4 linked regions of the Diceros bicornis minor genome follow. The protein of the gene in region 2 interacts with the protein of the main gene of each other region in a biochemical or structural test. Links are inferred from orthologs where the notes say so. Each region holds a gene or a part of one and is shown on either strand. Other genes may lie near its edges.

Region 1 (7,045 bases), on a different chromosome or scaffold from region 2:
TGTTCTTCCACGAAGTAAGCCTGATACCCGAGGCCAGTGGCTGGTCGATGCCTTCCCAGTAAACGCCCCCATCACTGGTCTCAGCCACGTTGGTGAAGATGGTGTTCTTCTGGATGGTCTTGATGGCGTTGGGGTTCGTCTTCACAGAGGTTCCAGGAGCGACACCAAAAAAACCATTTTCTGGGTTGATAGCCCTTAAGTTACCTGGAAAGTTTTAGACCAGAGAAGCAGAAGTGAATGCCAAGCAAAGCATAACATATATTCTTACATCCTGCCTGGCTAATTTTTGTACCAAATTCTCAAATCTTTTTTTCCCTCCTCCCTAGAATATATTTCTCCTTTCTTATTATATTCAACTTGGATGCTTTTTCAACTCTTTCTTCCTCATCAGTTTTCCACCAATACTAGTTTAACAAATTTATTATGTAAACAAACAATAATAACATATGGCCTCATTTCAATCCAGATTCAATATTAAATTAGAGAACACTTACAGAATACATATTTCTAAGGTTTTGCAAGATCTGTCTGAAATAACTGAATTAAAAATCCAAACACTGTGGATTTAGGAGAACTTGGCATGTTTTGAAAGCCAAAAAATCTCTTAGGTTCAATTATTGCTGTCAATAGCTGGGCCTAAAGCAGTCACCTTGTTGGTCAAATTTCATCCAGGCGATGTCGTCACCCACACACTCTATTTTCCACCCTGGGAGAGTGGGGTTCATCATGGCCAGGTTGGTCTTCCCGCAGGCACTGGGAAAGGCTGCCACGAAGTACTTCTTCTGGCCCTCGGGGTTGGTTATGCCCAGGATCTGTTGGAGACAAGATTCCTCCTGAAGCTCTTCATTCCTTTCCCCACCAGTGGTCAGTCCTTCAGTCTAGGAGTGTGTCTAGAACCCAACAGGTAGGTTCCCAAGATCTATTTCTTGGTATTAAAGTGAGCATTTTGAGTAATGAAGTCCAGAGGATCTCTATTGGTTCCACGGTGTCTGAGGTCCTTCAAAAGGGGCATCCATTAGCGCATTAATAATTATTGATGGAATTTCCGAATCTGTCCTTGGAGCATATTGGGGCTCTCCTAATGGGAACTACAATGCCATATATATTTGCCACCACCCTGCCTCAGCCCCCAGACCCTCTACCAGGCACATGTAGGATTTCCTGCATCTTACCAGCATGTGCTCTGCCAGCCACCCCTCCTCCTTGGCCAGCCGGCTGGCCATCCTGAGGGCAAAGCACTTCTTCCCGAGGAGCGAGTTCCCGCCGTACCCACTCCCGAAGGAGATGATTTCTCTGCGGTCGGGCAGGTGGGCGATGAGGGTCAGCTCTGGGTTACAGGCCCAGTTGTTAACCAAAGGCTCTGCACAGGAGGACACATCCCACATTAACACACCACGTCCCCGCCTGGGGACCCCAGGAGCACAGGCCTGGGGTTTAAGGCTAGGCTTACTTTTTAAAATTTTAGCTTTTGATTTTGAAATAACACACTTACTATTTAAAGGCAAAGGGCACCCCACGGAATGGAGACACTTGACGAATTCCCCATCGCCCAGTGCTTCCAGGACAGGTGTGCCCATTCGCGTCATGATGCGCATGCTGGCCACCACATAGGGCGAGTCTGTCAGCTGGACACCGATCTTTGACAGAGGCGAGCCCAGGGGCCCCATGCTGAAGGGGATGACATACATGGTGCGACCTGCGGGGCCAGTCGGTGGGAACTGGTGAGATATGACCCCAGACTCACAACAGCCAACACTGTTTTCCCAGGTGGACCCATTCTCATCGTCTCCTACTAGCAACGTCACACTTCGCTTGCTCTCAGCCCCCTGATTTAGAAGAGTCCCCTGGAAAGTGAGCGAATGCCAAAATGAATTTTCTTAAATGTGCAGTTGGAGTCCACCAAGCCATCTCAAATCTGCAGGCACAGAAATCGTTTTCATGTTCCTATAAGACAGTCTGTAAAACCGGAACTGAGATGTACATTCTTAATACATTGCCAGTTTCACACATGGAATTTAAAGGTCTCTGAGGCCATGGGAGTTGCCATTACTCTTACAATTAGGACAGACATAATAAGAAAAGGTTTGCTTTCGCTTCTATTTGGTTTTGCCCCATCAAATAAATGTTTGATTCACCTTTCATGCACCCAGGAAATCGGGCATTGAATGCTTTCTCAAAGTCCTCCTCCGACATCCAGCGACCCAGTTGGCTGAGGCCACTTTTGGGGATGGGCACCGTATCTCTTTGCTCTTGGGTAATAATGACTGTCTTGCTTTCAATTCTGGCCACATCCCTGGGGTCAGTGAGAGCCAGCCAGCTGCAAAAATAAAAAATACACAGGTTAGGCATGGAGAGGGAGGTGCTGCTGTTCTGCATTGCATCTGCGTGCTGGATTCCCTCGGCCAGGCATCATTTAAGAATGGACAGTCTTATTCATTATCGTGTTCTTCTCATACCTGTGGACACCCACACCCACCGGGACATAGTCAGGACACAGTCACCCACCGTTAGCTAGTCTTTAGGACAGGGACTGTCTGGCTCTCATTTTTATCAGAGACCTAGTTTGCAGAGAGCATTTGCATGTGCCGTCTCCTCGAAGACAGGCTGCTCTGCGAGTGTCGTCAGTCTATACGGTTCTGGCTGTTTGTTACGTTGTTCAAGAGTCTCAACCCCTGGAGAGGGCTTCGCGCGGGTCTTTCCAGCGACACCAAGCTGGCGGAGGGGAAGGCGTGAGCCCAGGGCCGAGGCCGCACTTACCAGTTGTCATACTTTTTCAGCCTCTTGATCACGCCCTGGTCCTCCATGTGGCACAGAAGCTGCCGGCTCTCCTCCTCGGAGCCGTCGCAGATGTGGATCTGGTCAGGCTGGCAGAGCTTGGCGCTGCTCTCCACGAACTCCCTCACCGCCTGGGGCAGGCTGTCCAGGGTGCCCTGGACCACTTTGGCTGAAAAGTTGAGGCGTTTTTGGTGCTGAGGAGGCATCTCTGCAGGGTTGTGTCAAGGGGCCCGGATGCCAAGCTTCCCTGAAATGGAAAGCACAGGCTTCCTGAATAAAAACAGCCACAGACTCCCTCAAACAAACTCCACGTGCTTTGTTTGGGTTGCACATCGCCAGATGGTCGTAGCTCTAAGGAAAAAGAAAACGATCACAGTGTCATCGCTGCAATGTAAATGTAAGTGAAAAGGCTCTACCTTACCTCTCTTCTCGGGGATGATCTTGATCAGAGATCCCAGGGTTTCCTCAGGGGTTCCTCTCGCCGGCGAGCGTGCGTTCCCAGGGGTAGGGCCTGTTTGTAGTGGGTGGCCCAGCTTCCTGGCCTTAAATCCGGGGGAGGAGGAAGGCCTGCCCTTCGGCTGTGCCCAGGGAGGCTCGTCTCTGACGTCAGGGGCAGGTCTTTGGATCACAGCCACGGTCAGTTGTGCTTTGGACCAGCTCTCCACAATAAACCCCAGGGAGATAATCATTGAACAGATAGTTGTTAATGAATGCTGGGAGGCCGCTGATCCGGAGACCAGCCATCGCAAGTCCTTATGCAACTTCTGATTGACTAAACTTTGACCCGGCTCCCTGCTGATGCAAAACTCATTGCCCTTCCATTGACAGGCAGGTGGGATCATGCACAGGCTGGTGGGACAACTCCTGGAAATGAAGGGTTGCTGGCAGCACGCTGTGTGTGCTGACGGCTGCTGGTCCTCAAAACACTGCAGTGGTGAGGTGTCACCCCACAGTCAAAGGCCCGTGGGAAGAACGCACCTGAATGTGGGCCAACGCGGAGATTCTTAGGAAAGCTCTGACCTAATTGGGGGCTAATAACCTTATTGAGTGTCCACTGCGTGCCCCCACCCCCACCCCAAATATAAACTCCCTGAGGACAGAGATTTGGGCCTATTTCGTTCACCTTTGTGTGTACAGGGCCTGGCACAGAGCAGGCTCTGAAAAAGTAAATGCCGAGCAGTGTTCTAAGTGCTTTGCAACATTGCCACCCTCTGAGGTGGAGCCCACGAACAACCCTATGTACAGACAGTGATACTGAGGCACAGAGAGGCCGAGTGGCTAATCCCAGCTACCTGGCTGGTGGGTGGCAGAGGGAGGACCGGAACACGAGCAAGCTGGGCTCTGGAGCTCCATACCAAACTGTCCCTTGTGAGGAGCCATTGCCTTTTCTGGAACCTTCCATGGATTCTCCAAGTAGTTTTGGGCTGGGTACAGTTACTCCTGGAGTCGACTATCACTTTTTGCTGCCCTTCCAAGTTTGAGCATCTGGGGAATGGAGGAGGCTTGGTGGTTTTGCTAGTTTACACTTGAGCAATGAGACCTTTATAACAGCTGCAAAGAATTTGCTTTGCAACCTGCTTGCTGGCATTTCGAGAGAACTGGGTGAGAAGTCAGGAGAACGGGGTCAGGCCCTGACTCCCCACAGCCAGCCCAACGGCTCAGTGGGAGCCCTCTCCCTCCGACGAGGCGGGATGGGGCTTGCCTGCCTCCCCCGCGGGGTGTGCGCAGAGATACTTCTGTGACTGTGTCTGTCAGGAGCTGTGGCAAATATGAGGCATTGGGAATGGCAGGCTCAGACCACGAGTATTTAGAGGAGTCCCCTGTATGGCTTCGTCCCCACTGCCATGTGAGGTTACACATGTCACCAACTGCCACCAAAATTATCAACTCATTGCTGTGTCTCATTCATTCAGATTCTTATTCAACCAACTCAATCTTTCAGTGTAAACACCATATGAAAAGTTTTTGTTTAGTTTTAAATTATTTCCTACCTAGGTCACTGGAATTCATTTTAGTGGTGCTGTCAGCCATACCTAAATTTGCGTGGTGTCTAAATTCCACCACCGCATAATGCTCAGCTGCTGAGGGACACTGTCTTAGCATCAGACATCAGTGAAATTAGCCATTCAAATACACAACCAGACATTTGTACCAGTGCAGTTCATCTCACCAGATGGGTGGAGATTCCCATTTTGCTGATAAAACTGTGACGGGTTTGATCCCCTCAAAAAGCATGTAGATTGGAAACAGAAATGAGAAACCAGAACTTATTTGCAGTGTTAAACGCTACCCATAAATTCAAGGTGTTTGTGTTGGGAGTCTTCCGGGAGAGAACCAGCTAGTTAAGACGTAGGCGAGGTGAGTCACCAGCGCCCCGCACCCAGGTGTTGAATCACCCACATTCACTCAGGGAAGGATGGGATTATGCCTTTGCAACTGTCCCTTGTCAAAACGTTAACAAGCAAACATTGGGCTTCAGATTTACCTTCAAGTACCGAGTTTTCTCGAAGGAACAAGTGATGCAGAGAGGAGCTAGTGTTTTGAGGACACAGAAAAGGATGGACAAAGTTCCCTTGTCCCACAGTTGATGATGCCCTAGGGCCCCAGTCTGTCCCTGTCCTCAGAGGCTCCTGGCCCCAAAGGGGACTCATTGAGCAATATTTTCAAGGGGCTGGCTGGAGACATCGGCGTCTCCCCATTCACGCACAGGCTTGGTTGTGAGAAGGGCTCAAAACCAGGTACGTACCCACCACCCACCCACCGTTGGTTTCCTTGGGGACCTGGAGGGGCAGCCACTTGAGCACAGATGTCCTAAGGGGCAAGGCTGCTTGCCTTTTAAAAAACATAAAAAGCTGAGCCCAGATACAAAACTGCTCTGTTGAAAGAAGGAGAAAGACCAGACACTGAAAAAAATAGTTTCAAACCTAAAAGTAACTTCTTCACAACGCCTCCCTGAGGGTCTGTGCGCGTTTCGTTTTGAAGCTGCAGGGTGGGTGTCCTCTGGGCTCTGAGGAGGGAGTGAGTGACTTTGGAAAGCCTTCAGATGCCCGTGCGGGACGGAGCAGGCGAAGAGGCAGCACGGAAACGTGGGCAGGGCCTGCCGAGGCTCGACAGGTGTGAGCAGGCGAGGCATGGGGTGGGGCACCTGCGTTCCAGGTGAGCCAAGGAAAACAAAGCCATGAACTTGGGCGGGGTCTCACGGAGGATTCCGAGGACCGTTTGTGATAAACATTGGCGTTTCTTGGTTATTGGAGGCCAATAAAAATCAGAAGTTCCAAAGACCAACGCCAGCGTCTGCAGTTCCTGCAGAGTCCAAGTCCGTGGCCTCCGCTCTGTGCTCCGAGGGATCTGGGGGGATTCCTCTGAGCCTCCTCTGAGGAGGAGGAAAGGCCAAGTGAGACGTGCTCAGAGCCCTCCCTTGCACAGCACTTTTGACCTCACCTGCTGTGCACATTAGGCTTCCATATTGGATCTTTGTTTGAACAAGGAATTCCACAGCCAGACAACACTGGAAATCCACAACCAATTCTGTCATTGGAGGAGTGAAACTGCTGAGACCCAGAGAGAGCAAATATGCCATTTTCCCAAGCTAAGGCTCTTATCCGCAAGATCATGACCTCCCTACTTTACCCCATCACTGATGGGGGCAACAGCATAGGCTCATTCCACCCAGGGAGTGCCCACAAAAATGCCCCTCCATTCAGATCTGAATTCACAGGAAAGCATGACCCTTACCTGGTAAAGAAAAAAAAAGGACAGTAATTTCTAGAAGGTGATAAGAAACTAACAGTGTAAATCTCATGTCTTGTCTTGGAGCCAAAGGTGTGTGTGCAAACCAACCCTGGGGTTGGTTTGCACTGCCAGGGAAGGTGCTCCATGGCACCCGACTGGCACAGCTGTGGAAGCTTCCAACAGCAGGAAAACACTGTTCAGATGTGCAATGATCTGGCATGGAATAATTTGCCTGGGCAATCCTGGGCATCCGCCCCAACTATGTTTGTGAGGGACAAATATTTAGATGTTCTACATTTATGGGGTAAACTTAATGTCTTTGCAGTCTGGAAGGGTTTTTCGTTTTTACAGAGTTGAATGAGTCAAGTTTCTATTTTGGAGCCATAGAATCATATAATTGAAAGGGTCCTTAAAAGATTATGTTAATCCAGCTTAATGGGTAGGGGTTCTCCTTTGGGGGTGATGAAAATGTTCTGGAACTAGATAGAGGCGGTGGTTGCATAATATCGTGAATGTACTAAATGCCACTGAATTGTAC
Region 2 (6,955 bases):
CTATTCATTATTTGGTCTCCCAAGGCCAATAACTGAAGATTTTAACCCAATATACAAAGACTATCAAGTATTAGCCAGTATGAAAACACAAAGTAAGAGAAAAATATCAGATACTTTTTTTTAATGCTGAGTACATTTTGGATGTTTGAGACATCACAATATTTCACTGAACAAAATATTTGACTTTTAACAGGATGTGGCTATTTAAAGAAAGAAAACATTTGCAGAAGAAAATACTGATGTTTTGAGGCCCTAAGTTTTAACTGAGCAATTTATTTGCAGTACCATACTGCCTGTCCAATCTCACTGCTTTTCATGTATAGAATAAAGTCTACCTACTTAGTCTTTTTCATCCAAAACTATCATTTATCATTTCATTTGTGACAATCATAGATCACACAAAAATCAAGCTATAGTAGAGAACTCTTTTCTATTACCAAAACTTACTAAACCTTGGTAAAGGTTTTATCTGAAGGCAAAAATATTCTGGGCTTCTTGTTCTAGTTAGTTAAAAGTTTCCAGAAAATCAATCTCTTTTGGAAACTGATTTTTCTCAAGCAATGCAACATAAGTTGATCCTATTACTTTGCAAGTAGGTATGGAAAGATGATCTTTCCTTTTGGAGGAGAGACACAGAACAGCTCCACTAACAAGTCAACTACTTCAAAACTTAGGGTGTATGGCAGTCTCAGATGCTGCCTTCATAAATGTCAACAGACCAGCCATTTTTACTAGATACAATAATAGATCTCTAGAATTTTACCTAGAGCCTTCTCCTATTTTTTCAAATATTTGCCACTTTGAGGTGCACATTTTATGATCTGAATCAAATCAACTTGTCTTTTCTTTACTTCATGAAATGAAAACTCAAGATGATCTAAATATTCTTAATATTGTATACTGACACTACAGAAATCAGAAACAAAGCTGATTACTTGTTTACACTAGGAGTGCAAAAAAGAAAAGGTAGCTTAAAAAAAGATACATTACTTGTAAATTTCTCAGACTAGCTAAAGCAAAAGGCAGGCTCAAAAATGAATCAAAGTGCCCAACACAACTGCAAAATAGGTTTTGGCATTGCATAGTCAGGATTCTTGGTGTATAAAGTTAGGACTAATATAGAAAACATGCCCTACTTCTCTCCTCCCTGTGCAATTTTCTCAGTTACAAGTTACATTACAAGCACTACCAACTTGGTTCTACCAATGACAGGAGAGCTGTCCTCACTACTAGCCTGGTTCTAAAATTTACAAAACAGTCTTTAAAAAGATCTCTAACGAAATAAAATCAGAGTAAGGATCACATAACAAAATGTTAAAATAAATGACTTAAAAACTTATTTCAGTATTTAAAGGAACTATGTAACAACTCCAAATACTTAATATTTTCAGAAACTATTCCAAAAGTTTCGCAAACATGTTAAATACAATATGGCTACAGCAAAGATTAGACAAATCCGAACCCAGTGCCAGAAACCAAGCCTCCAGCTTTCAGATTGAAAAGCTGTCCGCCCTACCTGAGGCGGTTAGATTCTTGGGGACAGAGGCCAATATCTTAGCAGCAAGTTAGGCCTCTTTCTCCCTCCGGGAAGCGCATGACAAACAGGGCGTCATGCAATTTATGTCACCCGGTCACTTAGCAAAAATAGCTAACTTCTGAACTTGGGTCCAGGTGGCCTTCTATACTCAAAAGAAATAGAGAGCAGCGAAGTATTGGGAGAGACGTGGGCTTAAAATGCCCCCCTTTCTAACCCTATAAACATTTAGCCCATCATTAGATCTGAGTCCTAGATTCTAAGACTTGCTTTAATGGAGGCCTCCCTCAACCTCCTCGGAGTCTCTGTTTTGCCACAGTGAAGGAACTTTTCCTGCTTTATCTCCGTTCCCTGTGAGCATGCGGCCCTGCCAATTCAATATCCTAAACCGGCAGGGAACGGTGGAGGAGGGAAGGGGAGAAATCCACGGCCAAAACAGCCCTCTTATGAAAGACAAAAAAAAAAATCTTAATTCCTCCTCCGCCCATAGCAAAACCCATCGCAGAAATTTACAGCGCGTTAAGAAAGGCAGCACTGCGAACTGCAAACGTAAGAGTTTTCCTTTGACTCCACGCACGGTTTTCAGCTGTCAAATTACAACTCAGGAAAACACTATCATTAGAATAAAAAAGGAAACAAAAAAGCTCGCACCACAGGGGCTGGGAGCAGGAGCTGCCAGCACCGTTTCGGAAGAAGGAGAGCAAAGGGAATCCAATCCACTTACCCACCCCCGCCTGAATTCAACCCCTCCCCAGGCTGGCAAACCTCACTGCAGGGGCTCAAATTTAATAATAATAACAATAATCATGGCGCTTCCTCCCTCCCCCCACCCCCACCGCGATCTGCCGGGAATCAGCCTCCCCCCTCCCCCGGGATCTCCAGGCTTGGCTGGTCCAGACCACCCGACCGGACACAGCTCCCGGGGGCCCGGGCGAGCCGAGCCTACCCCAGGGCCCCTCGCCCCGCTTCTCCTCTTCCCTCTCTTTTTACCTCCACCATCCCCCATCCGCATTGTCTGTCTCAATTCAACTTTGACTAATATGGATTCCTCGGGCCTGGGCCGGGCGGTAATTACAGCCCGCCCCCCCGGGAGCCGGATCCCCCCCCATCTCCGCGGAGTTCAACGCGGCTCCTCGGAGGGGGACGGGGGGGGGGGGAGGTTGCAGCGCGCTTTCCCGTCTACACCGCGCTCCCCCCGCGGCCCCGGGCCCCCAGGACCAGAAGTTTGCCCCGGAAGGGGCCTAGCCAGGGGCAATGTGGACCCCCCGGCCGGCCGGCCGGCGCGTAAACACGGGCGCCTGCCCCGGCGCGGCCCCGTGGGGGAGGGGAGGGCGGGGAGGCGCCCCTCCCCCCGCCCGCCCGCCCGCCGGCCCCATTACCTGTCATTGAGCTGGTCCTCGGTGCCCGGCAGCGGGTGAACCACGAAATGGATGGACGTCATGGTGCTTCCTTCTCGTCCTCTCCTCGAGGACGGCCCCCTCCCGCTCTCGCCCGCCCCCCCCAAACCCCCTTCCCCTCCCAAAACCCACAGCCGCCGCCGCCGCCTCCCAGTCCCCAAATGGAGGGAAGCAAATGCGCAGGGGCCGCCGCCACCTCCCTGCCGGGCGTGTGTCCGCGGCCCCGCGGTCCGGCGGGGCGGGCGGATCAACACGCCACCCGCTCCCCCGGCGACAGCGCGCAGGAGTGCAAGGCCGGCGGCCGGGACACGGGGCGCGCCGCCGCCAGCGGCAGCCGGGCGTCGGGAGAGGGGGCGACTGGGAGGGCGGAGAGGGGCGGGCTGCGGGGACGGTGTGGTCCCGGCGGCGGACGGGGTCCGGACTAGGGAGGTGGGGAGAGATGAGCCCGCACCGCGCGTCACTGGCGAGAAGCCGCCGCCGCCGCCGCCAGCACCGCCGCCGCCATCTTCACTTCTGCCCCAGTTTCTCCGTCTCGCAGGCTCCGCTCCCGAGCGGCGGGGGAGGGGCGAACGGGAGGAGGAGGAGGAGGAGGAGGAGGAGGAGGGAGGAGACCGGCGGGCGGGGGCTCGGCTGCGAGGGGGCGGGGCTCCGGGAAACGGGCGGTAAGGCCCTTCCGATTGGGCGGCTCAACGTTGTCGGGCCACGACGCTGTAAGACGCGCGCGGATTGGTCCGCTCGGCCCCCGAGCCCGGCCCCCGGGAGGTGGGATGTCTCCCGAGTGAGTGTTCCGGAGAGCACGTGTTAGGGAAGGAGGAGGCGCAGGGGCGAGCCCGCCGGCGGGGAGGGAGTCCGGGAGGAGGCTGAGAGTGTGTCCCCGGGGAAGTGGGAAGCAAAAGGGGCTCCCGCGTCCGTCCTCTCTCTGATTTCCCTGAGGCAGCCCTAATTATTTTGCAGACCCTTAGGGGTTTTTTGTTGTTGTTTCTCGTCCTTGATCCGCAATTATATTTAAAGTGGCAGTGTAAAATCGGTGAAAGGGCAAGAAATACACAGCCTTTTATTGGAGAAGTAAGGTAGTTATATAAGGACCTTTCCAGAAAGTCCTATCGTAGGATCATAAAGCTGACTTTGCAGCAACTTCTTGATCACCCTAGTCTCCCCGATTTCTCCACCACCACCATCACATACCGGCACAAAGACAAAATGTGGAAATTTCCACCGATTTCCTGATGTAAATGATTCATGATTTTTTGTTTTTACTACTTTTAAAAGAAAGATGATATATCACTTTTACAAAGGCGTTCTTCAACTTAGGATCAGTGGGATCGTAAAGGCAAATTCTTGAATGGATCTATCTGCTTTTTTCTAGGGAACCAGCTCCTAGCTTTTTTCTCAAAGGCTTCTATGACTCCTTCAAAAAATCAAGTACTTCTTTCAAGACAAAAAGTGAAAACATGAAGCTTCTTCTCCAGCCTGTGTGGATGTTCGTTAAATCGGGGGTCCTGTGAAACGGTCTTAACGTTAAGTACCACTTTTCTTCTGTTAATGCATTATATACACACAAACTTTTGCTTAGGACGTTCCTTTGAGCAAAATATATGAAAATTTATTTATAAATCAGGATAGAGTAGGTACCCCTTGAGACAGATAACGGAACACTTTTGTAGGTCACCAGCTCCAAAATTGGCCCAGATTAGTTTAGACTAAAAAGTGATTTCAAGGCCGCTATTTATTAGAAGTCCACGCCAGCCATGGGGAAGCAGGGTAGATCAATGGACACTGCTAGTTTTAGAGCCATACAGACCTGGGTTTGTGTCCTGTTCCTGCTGCTTTGCTTTGTGACCTTGATTAAATTATTTAACCTATCGTAGTGTCTTTTCTCAATTGTAAGATATTTCATAGTAGTAGATCTACATAGGGTTGTGGTGAAGTCTACATAAGATAATGTATGCCAAGCACCTGGAGCACTTCATAACACTTAGTAGGCTCAGAAAATGGAAGTTTTTATTTGTCAAGTGCTCACTATGTAACACTTTATACACATGTCTTTTAATGCTCAAATCACACTATGGGGTAAATAATATCATCCCCATTATGAGGATGAGGATACTGAGGCTCGACACCTTAGGTAAGTGCTGAAGCTGAGACTTAAACCCAGGTCATCTAACTCTGATTCCATTGCTCTTTCCACTATAGCACAGCTGCCATCTAGTTAATAATTTAGAAGGAACAGACTGTTCAAAGCCAATAGGAAAAATGTGATATGATAAATGCAATAAGAGTGCCATGGAAGTTAAAGGAGGAAGCGATTGCAGCCAAGAGAATTAAGAAAAGTCATTTAAGCTGAGCTTTCAAGAATGTCCTGGGCAAATAGAGTATCTGGCTTAAACCTAGTCATTTTTAGATTTGCCCCTAAACAAACTCCACACCATACCCATACTTGCTTCATTACTCTTTCTTCCAAATCTGTCTTTCTTCATCTTTTCATTATGCTTCCACCCTGCTTCCAACTTGATTTACCCACTCCTAGTTTCCTGGAACAGAGACTTTCCCTCCTGGTTGAAGGCTGGTCCCCTGCCTCCAGGCAGCCCATTCAAACTGCCCAGTTGGTTTTTGACTGACAACCATCTTGGCATTGCAACCTTTTTGTTGTCCCAGGCTGGCGTGTTAGGGAGAATTTTCCTCTCCCAGGGCCCCAAAACTTTGGTGGGTCACACTTTGAACAAGGAAAAACAAGAATAAAGGCATGGAGTTGTGCAAGCCCATCACATGGATGGAGGAGGGGGGAATACAAGTAGGGAATGGTGATAAGCAGGGTTCAAGCAGAAGCTGTTTGAAGAGTCAAAGTGGAATACTCGCCTAGAAAAGATGGCTGAGGGGCCTCTTTTCTAATAATTTGGACTAATTCTCCCTTTGAGAACAGCTAGAAATGTTAGACAAAATATTTCTTTAAGTCTGCTTAAAAGCAGAAGAATGTTAACAAAATGATGAATTACCAAACCAGGATCCAAAGGATGAATAAGACCCAAAGAAGTGAGTCCTGGTTTGTGTTTGGAGCCACTTTTTCCGCTGGGATAAGCGCCAATTCCAGAAAGAGGGAGAAGCCAAGAGGCTAAGCAGTTCTTCTGACAAGCACTGAGGGCTAAGACAACAGGGATTGATGTCCAAGCTCCCCCAATGCAGTGGGGAGTGCTAATGACCTCTCTTACTTTGTGCTGAGCCCTGAAGGACTGCACCCCTGAAAAAGGTCATGTCTTTAGATTTGGTTTCCCCCAAAACAGACCTGGAAACAAGGATTTGGCTATAAATAGTTTATTTAGGAAGTGATTGCAGGAAGCACTGTGTGGGGATGGAGAAATGAGACAGGGAAGGGAGAAAACCCAATAAAAGATGGGCTGAAGAATGTTTTACCACTGTGGGCAACTGGAATTCAATCCCACTGGGGACCATCTGAGAGACTGTGTGGGACACACCTCAGAGTTATTGCCACTGAGCGGGGAGCAAGCAAGCTGGAGGTATTTATCCATCAACCCATCCCTTGGGTTGTTAACTCCCTGACACATCAAGCTTTCCTCACTTGTGGGCAAAGCACATTTCTACAGCTAAAGAATAGCCTCAAGAATGAAAGAAAAATAAAGACATTCACAAAAAGAAAAAGAAATGTGAGACATTCTTAGCAGGCACCCCATACTAAAGGGTATTTTTCAGGCAAAAGGAAAATAATTCCCCAGTGTAAGTTCAGAAAGGCATAAAAGGAAGAAGCCGAATGAAAAGGGAAAATACGTAGGTATATGAATGTTGGTTGACTAAAACAATGGGGCTTAAAAATCCAAGACACTAACAACACCAAATGCTCGCAAGGATGTAGAGCGACAAGAAGTCTCATCCATTGTTGGTGGGAATGCAAAATGGTGCAGCCACTTGAGAAGAAGTTTGGTGGTTTCTTACAAAACAAAACATACTCTTAACATATGATCCAGCAATCATGCTTCTTGGTATTTACCCAAAGGACTTGAAAACTTATGAC
Region 3 (7,706 bases), on a different chromosome or scaffold from region 2:
AAAGACTATAACCCTAACCTCAACTGTAGTATAACAAAGATGGCTCAGCCCTGCCTATCATCTCTACTGATAAAAGCTCAAAGCACACAGCAACACCATCCTTATTTATAAAAACTGATACAAAAACATAAGGGGGGGGCTGGCCCCGTGGCTTAGCGGTTAAGTGCGCGTGCTCTACTACTGGAGGCCCGGGTTCGGATCCTGGGCGCGCACTGACACACGGCTTCTCCGGCCATGCTGAGGCCGTGTCCCACATACAGCAACTAGAAGGATGTACAACTATGACGTACAGCTACCTGCTGGGGCTTTGGGGGAAAAAAGAAAAAGGAGGAGGATTGGCAATAGATGTTAGCTCAGAGCGGGTCTTCCTCAGCAAAAGGAGGAGGATTAGCATGGATATTAGCTTAGGGCTGATCTTCCTCAGAAAAAAAAAAGAAAAGAAAAGAAGGGGCAATTCAAACCTCTAAACCTACACCATCCAATGTGGTAGCCACTAGCTACATGTGGCTATTTAAACTAATTAAAATTCAATACAATTAAAAATTTAGTTCCTCAGTCGCACTTGCCATATTTCAAGTGCTCGACAGACTCATGTGCTTAGTAGCTACCTTATTGGACAGCACCTCTCTAAACAATGAGCAAATTAAGAAAAAGATTGAGTTAACTGGAACCGAACCTTGGGCTGTATCAAATGTTAATGCACCTGTGCCACAGGATGGTCCTGATCACAAAGGCAATAACTTGGACAACTTTAACCTCGGACTGGGTTGGAATCCCAGATACGCCACAAACCACCCACAAGACCCTGCATATATCGTTAAATCACAGACAGCACGGTACAATGCTTAAAAGCACATAATCTCTGGACTACTCGGATTTGAATTCCAGCTCTTACTAGCTGTGTAACACTGAGCACGTTATTTAACATCTCTCATTTGTTATCTTCATTTTACAGTAGTACTTACTCCCTAGAGATAGTGAAGATTAAACACTTGTAAAAGCATTTACAATACCTGGAATTACTAAATGCTATAGACGTATGTGCCTAATAAAATAATCTCTCAAGCTTCTATTTCCTCAATTTCAAAATGGGCGATATAAAACTTGCTCTGCCTATTTCATGTTATTATAATGAATATGAAAACAGTTCATAAATTACAATATGGAAAAGCACAAAAGGAAGGGAGGCAGGGGCCTTATTTTCCACTTTCTTTCATCTCCCACAATACCCATGAATAGCTGTGCTAACAGTGGACATTTTATAAATGTTTACATTTTCATTAAAACTGGAGCATCACTCTCTATAGTCATAAAGAAATAAACTTGCATAAGATGCAGAGTGCTTACTTAAGGAGAAGCCTACTATAAACTTGCTCTGTCCCAAACAGGGTGGAGATTATCCACCTCAATTTGAACTCTTAAGGAGCAATATGCAATACACTATAATAAAAACATCCCAGCTCCCAAGCCTTTAACCATTACAGTGAATCTCCATTGCCTAACTCCCAACCCTTAAAGAAACAAATAGGCTATAATTTTTGGACAATTATCTATCTTTATTTGTCATAGACACTTATTTGCGAGAAAAAATTAAGTTCCGTTCAAGTTCACAATTAACAAGTGGCATAAACATGCTAATTTGCCCCAAATATCCTCTCTCTCAAACCGGAAACAAGCACAAAACAGCAAACATGGGGAATCTCATTAACAATCCTTATCGAGACCCTTTTCTTATCTGCAAACATAACCTGCAGCATATGAAATTCCAAAGGCTATTTAATGAAAGTGCAAACCAACACCTGATCAACTGCTCAAATGCAGTTTGTGAAAAATCATGCCACCAGGGTTCAAGACAAGATTAGCCAGCACAAACAAAATGGAAATTTGTCTTCTGTCGAAATAAACGTCAAAAGCTGTCAGCTGTAAGACCTTCTCCCACGACAAACTGGAAGCTAAATTCTTTCCAGAGGGTGCGGATTCTGTGAGGCGATGGGGCTTCAAAATCAGGGAAAACAAGACAACAAAAAGAAGCAAAGATCCCTTTTTGGAGTCACTAGAAAACACCACTGCTGGCTGCTTCAACAGTTTTGAAACACAGACTTCACCACAAATCATATATTTTTGGTGGTGGTGGGGCGTAAGCACAGAGAAAGATTAGGAGTACCAGAATCAAAGAATGTGAATTCGATGGGCCCTTAAAATTCATCTGGCTCAAAAACTTCCTGGAGTAGGGGTTCCCAGTACCCTCAAGGCCCTCCTATCCAGAGCATGGTATACAATACAACTAAAAATAAGGGGTAGGCGAAGAAGATGGAGAAAGGGGATCTGAAAGGTACAGGCCCGTGGACCGTTGCAGAACCCTCCCCTCGTACGCTCGCCAGCCCGCCAGTCCCTCCGCCCCTTTCTCTTCCTCCACCCCTGCTTCGGGAGGAGCGCGCACGCGCGGCAAGTAGGCGCTGCGCGTGGCGACGCGCAGGCGTAAAGTGGGGAGAAACAATGAGCTTTGTTGCCCGGGCGGCGGTGGGGGGCAGGGGGAAAAGGGTACCCGCCGGTGGGGAGGAGTGAAGGGACTGGAGGGAGGGGGAGACGCGAGAAAGTGCTCTCCCGGCAACCCTCGCGCGCCACCGAGGACCCGGATAGAGAGCTGCGAGATCCAAATCATAAATAATAATGACAATGAGAAAAAAGAGCGACGGCCATGTCTCAGAGAAGAAAGAGACGAAGTCGGTCCAAGCTCATCCTTCAGACTTGGCTGAAAGGGGTAAGGAACACCGGAGGCCATACGGGGCTTGGTGGCCAACAACCCGGGGGACCCGCTAGGCCCCTCAGCCGTCGTCGAGGTGCTGTCCCTCGACCGCCGGGGCCGCCGCACCCTTCTGGCCGCTCCGCCCGAGGGAATCCCTCACCCAGTGCACGGCAGCGGGGACGGCAGCCAACGAATCCGGTCGGCCTCCGCGGGTCTCCACAGGCAGCGCCGCTCCCCCGCTCGACGCGCGCTTCGCCCGCCGCCTCCCTTCTCCAGTCCAAACAAACACCCTAGCCCGGAAGTGATTTCACTTCCGCCGCCGTCGGCCCCGCCCTCTCGTTCTGTCTGCGCTGCCCTCTGAGACCACTAGAGAGCGCGCGAGAGAACGCGCCACCCCAAATTTATCTTCGTCTCCTAGGCTGCACGCGTGTGCGTGCGCGTCGGCCTTTCCTACGTACCCTGGTGGCCGTGGTGTGGTATGCTGGGAGTCCTGAGTGGGGTCGGGCCAGTGTCCCCACACCCGACCATCCTTCAAGAATGGTGGGAAGCAGCGAGTAGGGGAACTGGGGAGCGAAGACGACCCTGAGAGGATACACAAACTTAGACGTTTACAGACCGAAACAGTTACTTCAAACGTAGCGACACCAAATAGGAACATCTAGATAACGACAGCGCACTCACACACCCAGACACACCAAACGTAATACACATTGCACACTAACAGTGACACGCACCAAGTCACATCCAGAAATTCTGACGCAGAAAGAATAAACACAGAAACAAACTAAGACGTTCACAGAGGCATACTAACTGATCTCCAAGCACCTGCACTCAGACACGTTCAGGCACACACTTTTTGAAGCTAGACCTTTACACATGGACGAAAATTATGAGTTTATGGTTCGCAGGCAGTCTATGGAAACTTCTTTGTGGCTAAGAGAGGAAACACCCTGTTCAGAGATAGGATACGGTGAGACCTCAAGGTCCAAGAATTTCCTAGTCTATGAACCTGGATGCACTGTACCCCATACATTGCTCTAATCCATGCTTCCTTGCTGTCATCATTGGCAAGCCCCAATGTATATTTTTAGTGATACTAATCAAGGTGCAGTGTATAGTATGTGTAAAAAAATTTGGATGTTTGAATATGTATGCACTATTTTTGAAAGGGGACACAAAAACTATTAATTTCTTCCCTCTGGACAAGGAAAATGAGGGACCGAGATTTACCTTTTTACTCTCTTGCAAAATTTGAATCCCTAAAAAACCACATGCTTTTAATAATATCTACTAAAACTCCAAAAAAAAAAAAAGTTTCCCTCCATGGGAAGGCCTGAATCCAAAATAGGGCTACTCTTCTTTAGGGCCATTTCATTCATTGAAGGTCTGCTTTGGGTCAGTCCAAAACCCCAAAGAAATGAAGAGCACAGTTGTTCTGCCATAGGCTCTGGTCAACCACTTTGGCCACATTTGCAGATATGTATCCTAAACTGGGAGGAAGGGTTTGGCTTTGTTGTCTGCTGAGCAAACAGCTCTGGAAGGAGATGGTGCTGTCTTACAGGTCTGTGGAGTATGATTCATCCAAGGAACCTGGAAGATAAGCTATCAACCTGAGGCTGGAAGAGGCATGAACAGGACAGGAGGAGAACACAATAAAAATAGGAGTTTAGATAATGTGTAGTTGACCCTGACATTCTTAGCAGCTAATCATGAGATGAACTGAACTTGTTACTTAGCAACACAAACCACTTAATTGATTATATTGGTAATATTGAAAAATCTTTGATAAATCCTGGTTTATTTTTTTATTTTTTTTAGCCCTGAGCTAACATTTATTGCCAATCCTCTTTTTGCTGAGGAAGATTGGCCCTGGGCTAACATCCGTGCCCATCCTCCTCTACTTTATATGTGGGACACCTGCCACAGCATGGCTTGGTAAGCGGTGTGTAGGTCCACGCCCGGGATCGAGACCTGCGAACCCTGGGCCGCCAAAGCAGAGCGTGTGAGCTTAACTACTACGCCACGGGGCCAGCCCCTGGTTTATTTTAATCTGAACCATTCAAAGGCTTATGTTGTTTTTCCCCACCCAAACGGGTTAAGATTTCAACTCCCAGCTCACAGGATGAGTTCGCCATTGTAGTTGAGAAAGCTTAAAGATATCCTCTGGATATCTCCTTCCACGGACCCTCTGCTCACTTCCAAAATGGGGTTCATTATGTTCATGCTATGCCTGGATGGTGGTGGTGATGGTATGAGTGGAAAACACTTTCAGAAGAGCAAAGGTGGGACAAGTTTGCCAATGATGAGGACAAACACTTCAATGGGACTAGCAGAGGTCCACAGTTTACAAATACTGCAGAAATTCATCTGTTTGGTTCAGATTAGTAACAATCCTAATTTGAGATGGAGGTTGAAGTAGGAATCACAGGAGAGAGGATGATAATGAAGGCCCAGGATGGCTGCAACTAAGCTCCGACTCTACCATCTTCCTATAGGCGTGAGTTTTATCAAAATGTAAAATGTGTCAGTCTTCTGATTCAAACGTTCCATGTATAGGAATCTGCCCAAATAAATTGGACATATGTAAAAACATGTAAGGATATTCATAGCTATGTTATAATCAATCAAAAAAACCTAAAAGCCTATCAATAGGGAATTGGTTAAATGAATTATGGTATAACAGAATAAAACATTAGTTATTAAAAAGATGTATATTCATTGTTATGGAATTATACTTATGTCTTTTTTTTTTAAGCATGCTGCAAAAAATAAGCCTCTAAAATTATATATGTAGACATAGGCATGCGTGGGTATAAATGCAAATATCTGGTAGAATAGCAATATCTATAATAGCAATATCTCTAGGTGGTCAGATTTAAGAAGATTTACTGTCTTCTGTATACATTTTTATATTGTCTGAATTCTCTATGAAAGCCTGAATTGAATTTATAAACAGGAAAAAAAAATCACACCTCGAATAAAATCTAACATATGTTCCTATAGTTGTTTGGTAATGGCCTTGTGCCTATGCTCATTTGTATCATGTGGAAGCATTATTGTGTGTTGAGTAAAGGCCTAGAATTGTGGGGGTAAGCAGTGGCCCCTGCTCTAAATGTTTACACTTCAGGTGAGACAAAGCATCATCCAACAAACTTTTTTTTTTTAAACAATTTATTTTTTCCCCCAAAGCCCCAGTAGATAGTTGTATGTCATAGTTGCACATCCTTCTAGTTGCTGTATGTGGGACGCGGCCTCGGCATGGCTGGAGAAGTGATGCGCCGGTGCGCGCCTGGGATCTGAACCCGGGCTGCCAGAAGCGGAGCACGCACACTTAACCGCTAAGCCACAGGGCCAGCCCTTATCTAACAAACTTTGAATGCCTACAAGGCAGTAACTGGCATGATCGTTTCCCAGAAAAGTTGTTTTAGTGAAGCTTAATGAGATACCACCTCACACCCATTAGGATGGCTACTATCAAATAAACAAAAAATAACAAGTGTTGGCAAGATGTGGAGAAATTGAAACACTTGTGCACTGTTGGTGGAAATGTAAAATTACCATATGATTCAGTAATTCCACTTCTGGGTATATACCCAAAAGAATTGAAAGCAGGGTCTCGGAGAGATATTTGTACACCAATGTTTATAGCAGCATTATTGACAACAGGTAAAATGGACAAGCAACTCAAGTGTCCATCAATGGATGAATAGATAAGTAAAATGTGGTATATACATTGAAGTATATACAATGGAGTATTATTCAGCCTTTAAGAAGGAAATCCTGCAATATGCTACATCATGGATGAAACTAGAGTACATTGTTAAGTGAAATAAGTCACAAAGAGACTGTATGATTCCATTTATATGAGGTAGTCAAAATCATAAAGAAATTGTAATGATAGTTGTGAGGAGCTAGAGGGAGGGGAGAAAGGAGTGTTATTGTATAATAGGTACAGAGTTGCAGTTTTGTAAGATGAAGAGTCCTGGAGATGGATGGTGGTGATAGTGGCACATTACTAATGTATTTAATGCCACTGAACTGTACACTTAAAAATGGTTAAGATGGTAAATCTTGTGTATTTTTTTAAAAATTAGTCTGACTTAAAAGGTGTACCAAATTTGTATAGGTTGAGTAGGCAGGACGAGCAGGATTTAGAAAATAAGGTGTAGATGTGGAATAGGTGAAGATTTTTGCAAAAGGGTGAGTCAAATAGCCCATTAGAAGCCACTGATTTAACAACTCTGGCAAAGTTGAGCAAATAGGAATTAGTCTGGCTTTTGATAGGCAGGTGCAATGACTGAAACTTGAGTATTTTGTCCTAATCAAAAGGACATTCCCGCTGCTCTTGGTATATCCTATTTGGATCAGGTCCATAGAATCAATACCTCATCAATGCTACCATGTATGAAGCACAATGATATCATGGTTGAAAGGTTACTTAACCTGTATCTAATGCCAGTTTTTCATCCTAAATTTACATATGCTATTGGGGTGGGCATATGTTCATCAACTTTTGTCTACTACACCTAATAGATTGCCTTTCATTTTCACCTAATTTTCCTATTCCCTACTGTACATCTGGCTTTACAGAGTTCTTAAATTCTGTGGAAATTATAAAACTTTCTAAGGCTAGAACTACTAAGTTCAAAGAAAGGCTAGGGCTAAAAATATTAATTTAATAATTATGTTAATATAGTCATTTTAATCAATCGGAGCCAGCCCTGATGGCCTCATGGTTAAAGTCTGGCATTACACTTCAGCGGCGTAGGTTCGGTCCCCTGGCGTGGAACCACCCCACTCATAGGTCAGTAGCCGTGCAATGGCCGCAGCTTACATAGAACCAGAAGGACCTACAACTAGAATATGCAACTATGTACTGGGGCTTTGGGGAGGGGGGAAAAAAAAAAAAAGAGGAAGATTGCAAACGGATGTTAGCTCAGGGCGACTCTCCCAGAAAGAA
Region 4 (7,275 bases), on a different chromosome or scaffold from region 2:
CTCTCTACAACTACCCTACAAGAAGAAATACTGTTATTCACATGCTACAGATGAGAGAAAAAAGAGGTTGAGAGTGGTTACAGTGGGACCAGAATTCGACCCCAGGACTGACTCCAGAGCCCTCACTCTGTACCACCATAATTGAGGAGTCAGGGGAAGCCTTTAGCACAGTGCCAGGGACTCAGTAGGCACCCAATAAATGTCATGATTGATGTGGCAAGTATTAAGATGACTTTTTAAGAAGCTTCCATCTTCCCACCCTATCCACAGCCGCTCAAGCCTCAATGCCAAGCCCCATGACAGCCTTGACCTGAACTGTGAAAGCCGGGACTTCGTGGCTGCCATCATCAGTATCCCTACCCCTCCTGCCAACACCCCAAATGAGAGCCAACCTTCCTCCCCTGGTGGTGGCGGCGGGGCCAGCAGCACCCTCAGGAACTCCAGCCTGGGTACCCCTTGCCTCCTCCCTGAGACTGTCAAGATCTCTTCCCTGTGAGGGGCGGCCCCGCCCATCCAGAGAGCCCTCTTGATTCTTGGGGACTCCTTTCCAAAGCCATATTTTGGAGAGGCAGAGAGGGGCAGGCCTGGGGACCCCTTCTGCCCCCCACTGAGAACTATGCAATGGAGTTTCATGGAATGGCCTACCTAGTGGGGAAGTAGCCAGGGAATGGGAAACTTCCCCCAGCCCAGACAGTTTTCCTTGTGGGAGCTGAAGAGCTGGGCTTCCTCGCGCCCCTGGCCTCCTTGCCCCAGCACACTGGGACTGGCCCCTCTTCCTGAGCTGGCCTCCTGCATGCTCCTCCCCTCGGGCCGTTGGGCTCCCACCTGACATCTGAGCTCGGCGTAAGAAGGAGAGATGAGACTTCCTCTTCTCTCTGGCCGGGCTGTGGAGGTTTGGAGGTTCAGAGAAAAGAACTCTCACTTCTGATCTGGCCTTTAGGAGAGGTCCCCACCCTCCACCAGGCCCAATAACTCCCAGATTCTGAAGCTTGGAATGCAACCACAGGCTTCATGAGCTGTGCCTCAGCAGTGACCTGCCACCCCCAGACCTTGGCTCAGGGGTCAGGCTGCCTCTCCCAACACACACAGATAGCACAAACACCACCCACCTTCCCTGGCTGCTGGAAATGGGTCCCCACAACCCCGTCCTCTGCTGGGCCCCCAGCCAACTCTAGCAATAGCAGTTGCTGCCATGACATTATGCAAAGCCTTTGCCCAGTTTGCTGCAGCATTTACATCTGCCCTAATCAGAGGGGCCACCTCTAACTACTCCTCCTTCTCTCTTCTCTGGTTTGCTCCCTTCCTGGGTTGGGCTGGAGTCTGGACTGGCTGAGATAAGACCTGGCAGCTAGCAAGAGCAGGGCTGTGTTTGGAGATCACGGGCTAATTCCATGTTCTTGGGCAGGAGTCCAGAAGCATCAGGGCTGGGGCCTGGGTTGTTCCTGAACTCTGGGAGTTCTAGGAGGCAGGAGGAACTTATTGATCTCCTCCTCCCACAATGCTTTTTCACATATTCCTCTTTCTTCTCCCTTTTGGGTCACCTTCCAGAACTCTGTGTCTGCTCTCAGGCTGAAATCTGGCATCATCTCAGGTTCCCTGTCCCCAGCACTGTCCCTGTGGAGTTGGAGGCTGACAAAGATGTAGTTTCCATCAGTCAATAAAATCTGAGAGGAGAGATGAGGCTGAGCACCTCCTGGCTTTGTGGGTTTGGGGGCTGGATTGGGCTAGGGGGTTAACAATACTATGATTTCAAAGTATTGCTGGAGAAGGGCTGGTTGTGGGTAAAGGTATGGGAGGTGGATGGTTGGTGACGTGTTCTGGAAGATGGGAATCTAGGAGAAATGAAAGAGGGTGGTTTGAAGAGTTGAATCTACAGCCAGCAAGGCAGGCTAGGAGGTCGTGAGACATGCCCCTTGAACTTCATCTGCTCCAGCTCCCTCACTCACAGATGGGGGAACTGAGACCCAGAGCAGCACACGCTTGATTAGAGGAGACTTAAACCGAGGCTTCCTGACATCAAACAGCTCTGAATTGAACCCTAATGAAAAGCATCTCTCAGTTTGGCAAATTCCCCTTCCTTGTGGATGTCTCCTACATTCTCTCTTCTGAGCTCCCGGGTACACTAGGCTAGTGTGTGACTGAGCTCTGTGGAGCACTGAGAAGACAGACCTTGGATTCAGGTCGACCTGGGTTCCAATCCCTGCGTGAGAAAATTACTTCTGTTGCCTCAGGTTGCTAATCTGCGAAATAATCATTCATTTATTCACCAAGTATTAACTTCATATCATGTGCTAGCCCTAGGGAGACAAAGATGGGCAAAGAAGACATCATCTCTCATCTACAGAGGTGAGCATGGAAGGCAGGCAATTAAGCGATTACAATACAGTACAGTAGAACTAAGATGGATAGATTATAGAAGCATGTAGATGGCAGGAGAACCTAATCTGGCCGACACATGAAGAATGAGTTGGAGTTAGCCAGGCAAAAGACAAAAGTATGAAAATGTATCAGGCAGAGAGAACAGCATGTGCAATGAATGAGCTGGAAGGTTAGAGAGTGAGCTCAGGGCCTTTGGGGAACTGAAATTAGTTCAGTACAGCTGGGGAGGAGAGTGTGAGGCTGTGAGGAGGGTGAAGATGCAGAGGTAGGCCAGATCATAAAAGGCCTTTGAAGCTATGATACAGGTTTTAGACTTCATACTAAGAATGATAGGGACCTCTGAAGGCTTATAGACAGGAAAGTCACTCTCAGGTTTGTGTTTCAGAAGGATCATTCTGTCTGTGGAGAGCGGATTATAGAGAAACAGTCCCAGAGGGAGGACGAGCAGTGAGGAGGCTTTTGCAGAAGTCCAGTTGAAAGGTGATGGTGGCTTGGATCAGGTAGTGGCAGTAAGAGTTGGAGAGTCAAGAGATTTGAGAGATAGAATGGGCAGAATTTGGGATTGACAGGCATGCAGGAGTTAAGAAAGAGGAAACAGTCAAGGTTGACTTCTTGGTTTCTGGCTTGGGGAAAGGCTGGATTGGGGTGCCATTCACTGTCAAAGGGAACATCAAAGCTGTTAGTGCACAGTGCCAGCCACATAGTAAGTACTCGGTGAAGGTTAGCTACAATTCTTATCATAAGTTCAGGTTTAGATATGTAGTGCTGACCAAATATCCAGTAGGGAGTGGGATGTATGGGTCAAGTGAGATGGTCATGAGAAGATTCCATGTGATAATGTGCATAGGCATTTGGCACAGTGCCCTGAACACAATAGGCCCAGTAAACGTGAGTCCTCTCCTCTCATTGTCTCAAGAGCAGAAAACACCACAACAGTCCGTTTATTACTGACATCCTTCAGGGAAGAACTTCAACTAGGGTCAGCATCTGAAGCGAGGTTAGGTCGCACTCAGAAGGGCTTTCTGATGGTCTCACTGTCAACCTCTTGTATGGCTCGGCTCCTAAGACTGGTAGTGAGCCCTCACCTCTCACAACACCTTCTCGGTTCATGAGCTTATTGAACCTCATAACTACTCTCTGAGGGAGTCTGGGCAGGCATTATCACTCCCGTTTTACACATGGCTAACCCCAAATTTGAGACACAATGACTTGCTCGAGGTCATACAGTTGGTAAGGGTCCATCCGTGCCTGGAACTGAAGCCTGGAACTGGACTCTTCCTGACTCCAAAGCCTGAGATCCATTCCATTGTACCGTCACGCAGACTAATTTATTGAGCATTTACTACGTGCCAAGTACAGCACCAAGCCCATTACAAGCATTCATCTCTGATCATTAAAATGGAATTATCATTGCCAGTTTACAGAGAAGTAGAATTTGAGGATGGAGGGTGTTAAATGACTTGCCGGAGATCACTCAGACAGGAAGGTCAGAGCTAAGATTAGCTTGTAGCTCTCCAGTAGCTCAGTAGCAGGGATTTTACCAACCCCATTGCGAGACGCTGGCCAGTGACAGACCTGGTTCATAGACTTCTCGATCCAGGTAAACTCAGTTTCAGAAAAAAAGGCTGCGCTACGCCTGCGCACTAGCTACAGGGGCGGGGAGGTCAACCCGAGGGCGAGAATGCGGTGGTGCCAAAGTGGGCGTGTCTGTTTCCCAAACACCACGGTGCATGTCTGTCCCATGGTTGGCCTTCCGACTTGAATGACGGCCTCTCTTAACCAATCATCGCAGAATTCAGCCTGTTGCCAGGGTGAAGCGGCGCCCTCCTCTCCGTCGGATGTGGATTTGCCGGTGGGTGGGACCGGAACTGACGCTTCAGGGGATTGCTATGCTCTGGGAGTGTTGATATTCTCGTCAGTCCGGCTGACTGCAGCCAAGTTAGAAGCCTGGTAGGGAGGTACTTTTAAAATTATCTTGCGTGGGGCAGGCTACGCTGTCCTGTCGCAGTACTCCTGCCTGCGAGTCAGAGCCTCGGAGAGAGAAGTAAAGAGCGGACACGGCCGACAAGAAGGCAAGGAACGAGGGTGCCGACTTGACTGAAATTTGAGACGGAGGGCACGGGAGGGCGAGCGATCATCTCTGATTGGCCTGTGGGCGTCATCGAAGACCCACGCAGCTGCTTCGATTGGTTGCTGCCCGCAATTGTTGTGGCGGCGGCGAAGATTTTGCCCACGTACTTCCGCACGAGAGGCGGGGCTGTGCCCTGGCGCGCGTGCGCAGCGTCCCGGGGCCCCACCCGGTAGTTCAAGAACCTGCGAGGGGGCGGGGCGAAGAGGTGCTTGTTTTGGTTCTGTTTCCTTTGAAGCAGAAGGCCGGAGCGAGCGTAGCAGTAAACTTGCTGGACTTGAAGAGAAGGCTACGACAAACTCGCCGGGGTGCCTTCAGCTTGGACTTCACATCCGGGTTCTCCTGCCGCGTGACCCGCGCGCCGCCGAGAGTTCTCGAACCGGTGCCTCAATCTCTTTATCCGGGTCCCGCCGATCCCATCGTGCTTCGCGCACCACAGTAGCCCCCTCATCCGGGTTCTCTCCCGGCGTGCCCCGCGCCGGGTTTGCTGGGGGGTACTCGGCGGTGCCGCCATGACTATTCTCCCCAAAAAGAAGCCGCCGCCTCCCGACTCTGACCCCGCTAACGAGCCGTCGCCGCCCGGGCCGCTGCCCCCGGCGCCGCGCCGCGGCGGGGGTGTGGGCGTGGGCGGCGGCGGCACGGGCGTGGGCGGTGGCGACCGCGACCGTGACTCGGGCGTTGTGGGGGCCCGTTCCCGGGCCTCGCCACCGCCTCAGGGTCCGCTACCGGGGCCACCGGGTGCGCTTCACCGCTGGGCGCTGGCCGTGCCGCCAGGCGCTGTGGCAGGCCCGCGGCCACAGCAGGCCTCTCCTCCTCCTTGCGGGGGCCCAGGCGGACCCGGCGGCGGTGCCGGTGACGCGCTGGGCGCAGCGGCGGCGGGTGTGGGCGCGGCGGGCGTGGTGGTGGGCGTGGGCGGTGGTGTAGGCGTGGGCAGCTGCTGCTCTGGGCCGGGTCACAGCAAACGGCGGCGTCAAGCGCCTGGGGTTGGCGCGGTTGGCGGGGGCAGTCCCGAGCGTGAGGAGGTCGGCGCAGGTTACAACAGCGAGGATGAGTATGAAGCAGCTGCAGCACGCATCGAGGCCATGGATCCTGCCACCGTCGAGCAGGTATGGGCTGGGGGTGGCAGGTGAGTGAGTCTGGTCGATGGGATCCCCGGGCTGGGTAGGGACCCGAGGAAGGTTTTTGAGATCGGCCCAAGGGCCCTAACATCTTTTCCCGGAGCTTGGCGTTCTTTTCTCTGGTGGTAGGGGTGTGAGACACCCTCTTCCTCCTCTCAAGAACTTGGTGTTAGAGGCCCCAGATGAGATGGAGGACTTAAAGATGAGGTCTGTGGTTACTTTGAGGACTCATGGTCGTCATTTCCGGCCCTGGGACCTCATCATGTAGGGCCAATAGGTGGGAACTCCCCAGGAGACACAGGCAGGATGGAATGCTTTCTGAGAAGGGTGTCTCCTGATTCTCCAAGGAACTTTGGTCTGTGTTCAGTGGCTTGAGATTTCTTTTTCTCTGGGATAAGAGTCTAAGACTCCGTCTTCAGGGAACACAAGTGAGGTGGAGACTTCAGAGATGTCTGAGTGTCCCCAAGATACCTAAATCCTTTCGGGAGTCTGAGACACTATATAGGACAGATCTCCTCTACCTTCTTCTCAGGGGAACACAGTGCAGGACCACTCAGTGATGGGGTCTGAGACCTCCTCAAGGGTCCTAAGCCTGCCTTCAAGGGCCTGAGACTCCCTCTTCTAGAATCATGGGCCTGACACACACATATATGTCTTCTTTAGAGAGAGGGATCTTCTGAGCTTTTCTCCAGGTATATAAGACTTCTTTCAGGGAGATAAGATTTCCTTCCCATTGGGGACAAGGGTCAAAACACCCAGGGACCAGAAACTCTACTAGGGCATATGAAACTCATCTCCTTTCTAAGTGACAAGGGTCTATGCTTCCTCTCAGTGGTCTGAGACGTTCTTGGGGACCAGAGTGAATCTCTCTTAAGCTTCTGTTAAGCATTAGACTTTCAGCTTCCTCCCTGCCCTGAGCCTTGCTTCAAGAAAGTGAGACTCACTGTTTTGGATACTGGAGCCTAAGATCCTCCTGCTTATGGACTGGGGCTTTCAGAGACTGGGTCTGAAGCCTCTTCAGGAGACTGATACCCCTCCGCAGGTCCCAGGCAAGGTGAGGTCTTTAGGGGACCTTTCTCCTCAGGAGCTAGTGTCTGAGTGTTCTTCTTAGGAATCTGAGACCCCCCCCTTCACACACACACACAGGGATGTGAGATCCTTCTAGCCCAATTATGAAGGACTGAAACACACCTTGGGGACATAACAGCCCCCTCTTCCCCTATAATAGGCATCTGAGCACACACTCCCCACACGTAACGGCGTGAGCTTCTTGTCAGGGACGTAAGATCCCTGCCTTGGGAACTCGGGACTGAGACCACTCTTCAGGGGACATGGGAAGCATGGAGTCCCAGAGATTTAGTCTGAGGCCTCACCATGGATCTAAGCCTGCCTTCAAGGGCCTGGGACCCAGTGTGCTAAGGACGCTTGCACTTTCTTTCAAGGACAGGAGACCCTTATATACCCCAGTGACTAGTGTGTCTCTAGAGATGAGGTCTGAGCTTCCCCCTCAAGGAACTTAAGGTACCCCTCAGGAACAGGAAAACTCTCCCCACCAGAATGGAGCCCTGAGACCCTTCCCTTGGGGCATGGATACAGAGTCCCTGGAGAATAGTGTCCTGAATCTCCCCTCAAGAGTTTACACTTTCCCTC

Evidence for each region.
Region 1: the proteins of UBR5 (region 2) and PCK1 form a complex in vitro, tested with the Homo sapiens proteins (2 studies listed by BioGRID, with this or other methods). The link is inferred for Diceros bicornis minor from reciprocal best matches to the Homo sapiens genes UBR5 and PCK1.
Region 3: the proteins of UBR5 (region 2) and PAIP2 form a complex in vitro, tested with the Homo sapiens proteins (2 studies listed by BioGRID and IntAct, with this or other methods). The link is inferred for Diceros bicornis minor from reciprocal best matches to the Homo sapiens genes UBR5 and PAIP2.
Region 4: the proteins of UBR5 (region 2) and OTUD5 form a complex in vitro, tested with the Homo sapiens proteins (2 studies listed by BioGRID, with this or other methods). The link is inferred for Diceros bicornis minor from reciprocal best matches to the Homo sapiens genes UBR5 and OTUD5.

What each region holds. Positions count from the first base shown.
Region 1 is NC_080758.1:5,975,199-5,982,243, forward strand, and holds the start of PCK1 (phosphoenolpyruvate carboxykinase, cytosolic [GTP]), read right to left. Parts: upstream 3,002-7,045; 5' UTR 2,982-3,001; coding exon 2,758-2,981; intron 2,318-2,757; coding exon 2,136-2,317; intron 1,697-2,135; coding exon 1,493-1,696; intron 1,361-1,492; coding exon 1,173-1,360; intron 813-1,172; coding exon 650-812; intron 205-649; coding exon 1-204. UniProt on the Homo sapiens protein: Cytosolic phosphoenolpyruvate carboxykinase that catalyzes the reversible decarboxylation and phosphorylation of oxaloacetate (OAA) and acts as the rate-limiting enzyme in gluconeogenesis.
Region 2 is NC_080760.1:20,706,959-20,713,913, forward strand, and holds the start of UBR5 (E3 ubiquitin-protein ligase UBR5), read right to left. Parts: upstream 3,006-6,955; 5' UTR 2,976-3,005; coding exon 2,914-2,975; intron 1-2,913. UniProt on the Homo sapiens protein: E3 ubiquitin-protein ligase involved in different protein quality control pathways in the cytoplasm and nucleus. Mainly acts as a ubiquitin chain elongator that extends pre-ubiquitinated substrates.
Region 3 is NC_080740.1:57,744,203-57,751,908, reverse strand, and holds the start of PAIP2 (polyadenylate-binding protein-interacting protein 2), read right to left. Parts: upstream 3,021-7,706; 5' UTR 2,907-3,020; intron 1-2,906. UniProt on the Homo sapiens protein: Acts as a repressor in the regulation of translation initiation of poly(A)-containing mRNAs. Its inhibitory activity on translation is mediated via its action on PABPC1.
Region 4 is NC_080781.1:42,207,478-42,214,752, reverse strand, and holds the start of OTUD5 (OTU domain-containing protein 5), read left to right. Parts: upstream 1-4,263; 5' UTR 4,264-5,019; coding exon 5,020-5,613; intron 5,614-7,275. Other genes in the region: KCND1 (potassium voltage-gated channel subfamily D member 1), read left to right, coding at 271-496. UniProt on the Homo sapiens protein: Deubiquitinating enzyme that functions as a negative regulator of the innate immune system. Has peptidase activity towards 'Lys-48'- and 'Lys-63'-linked polyubiquitin chains. Can also cleave 'Lys-11'-linked ubiquitin chains (in vitro).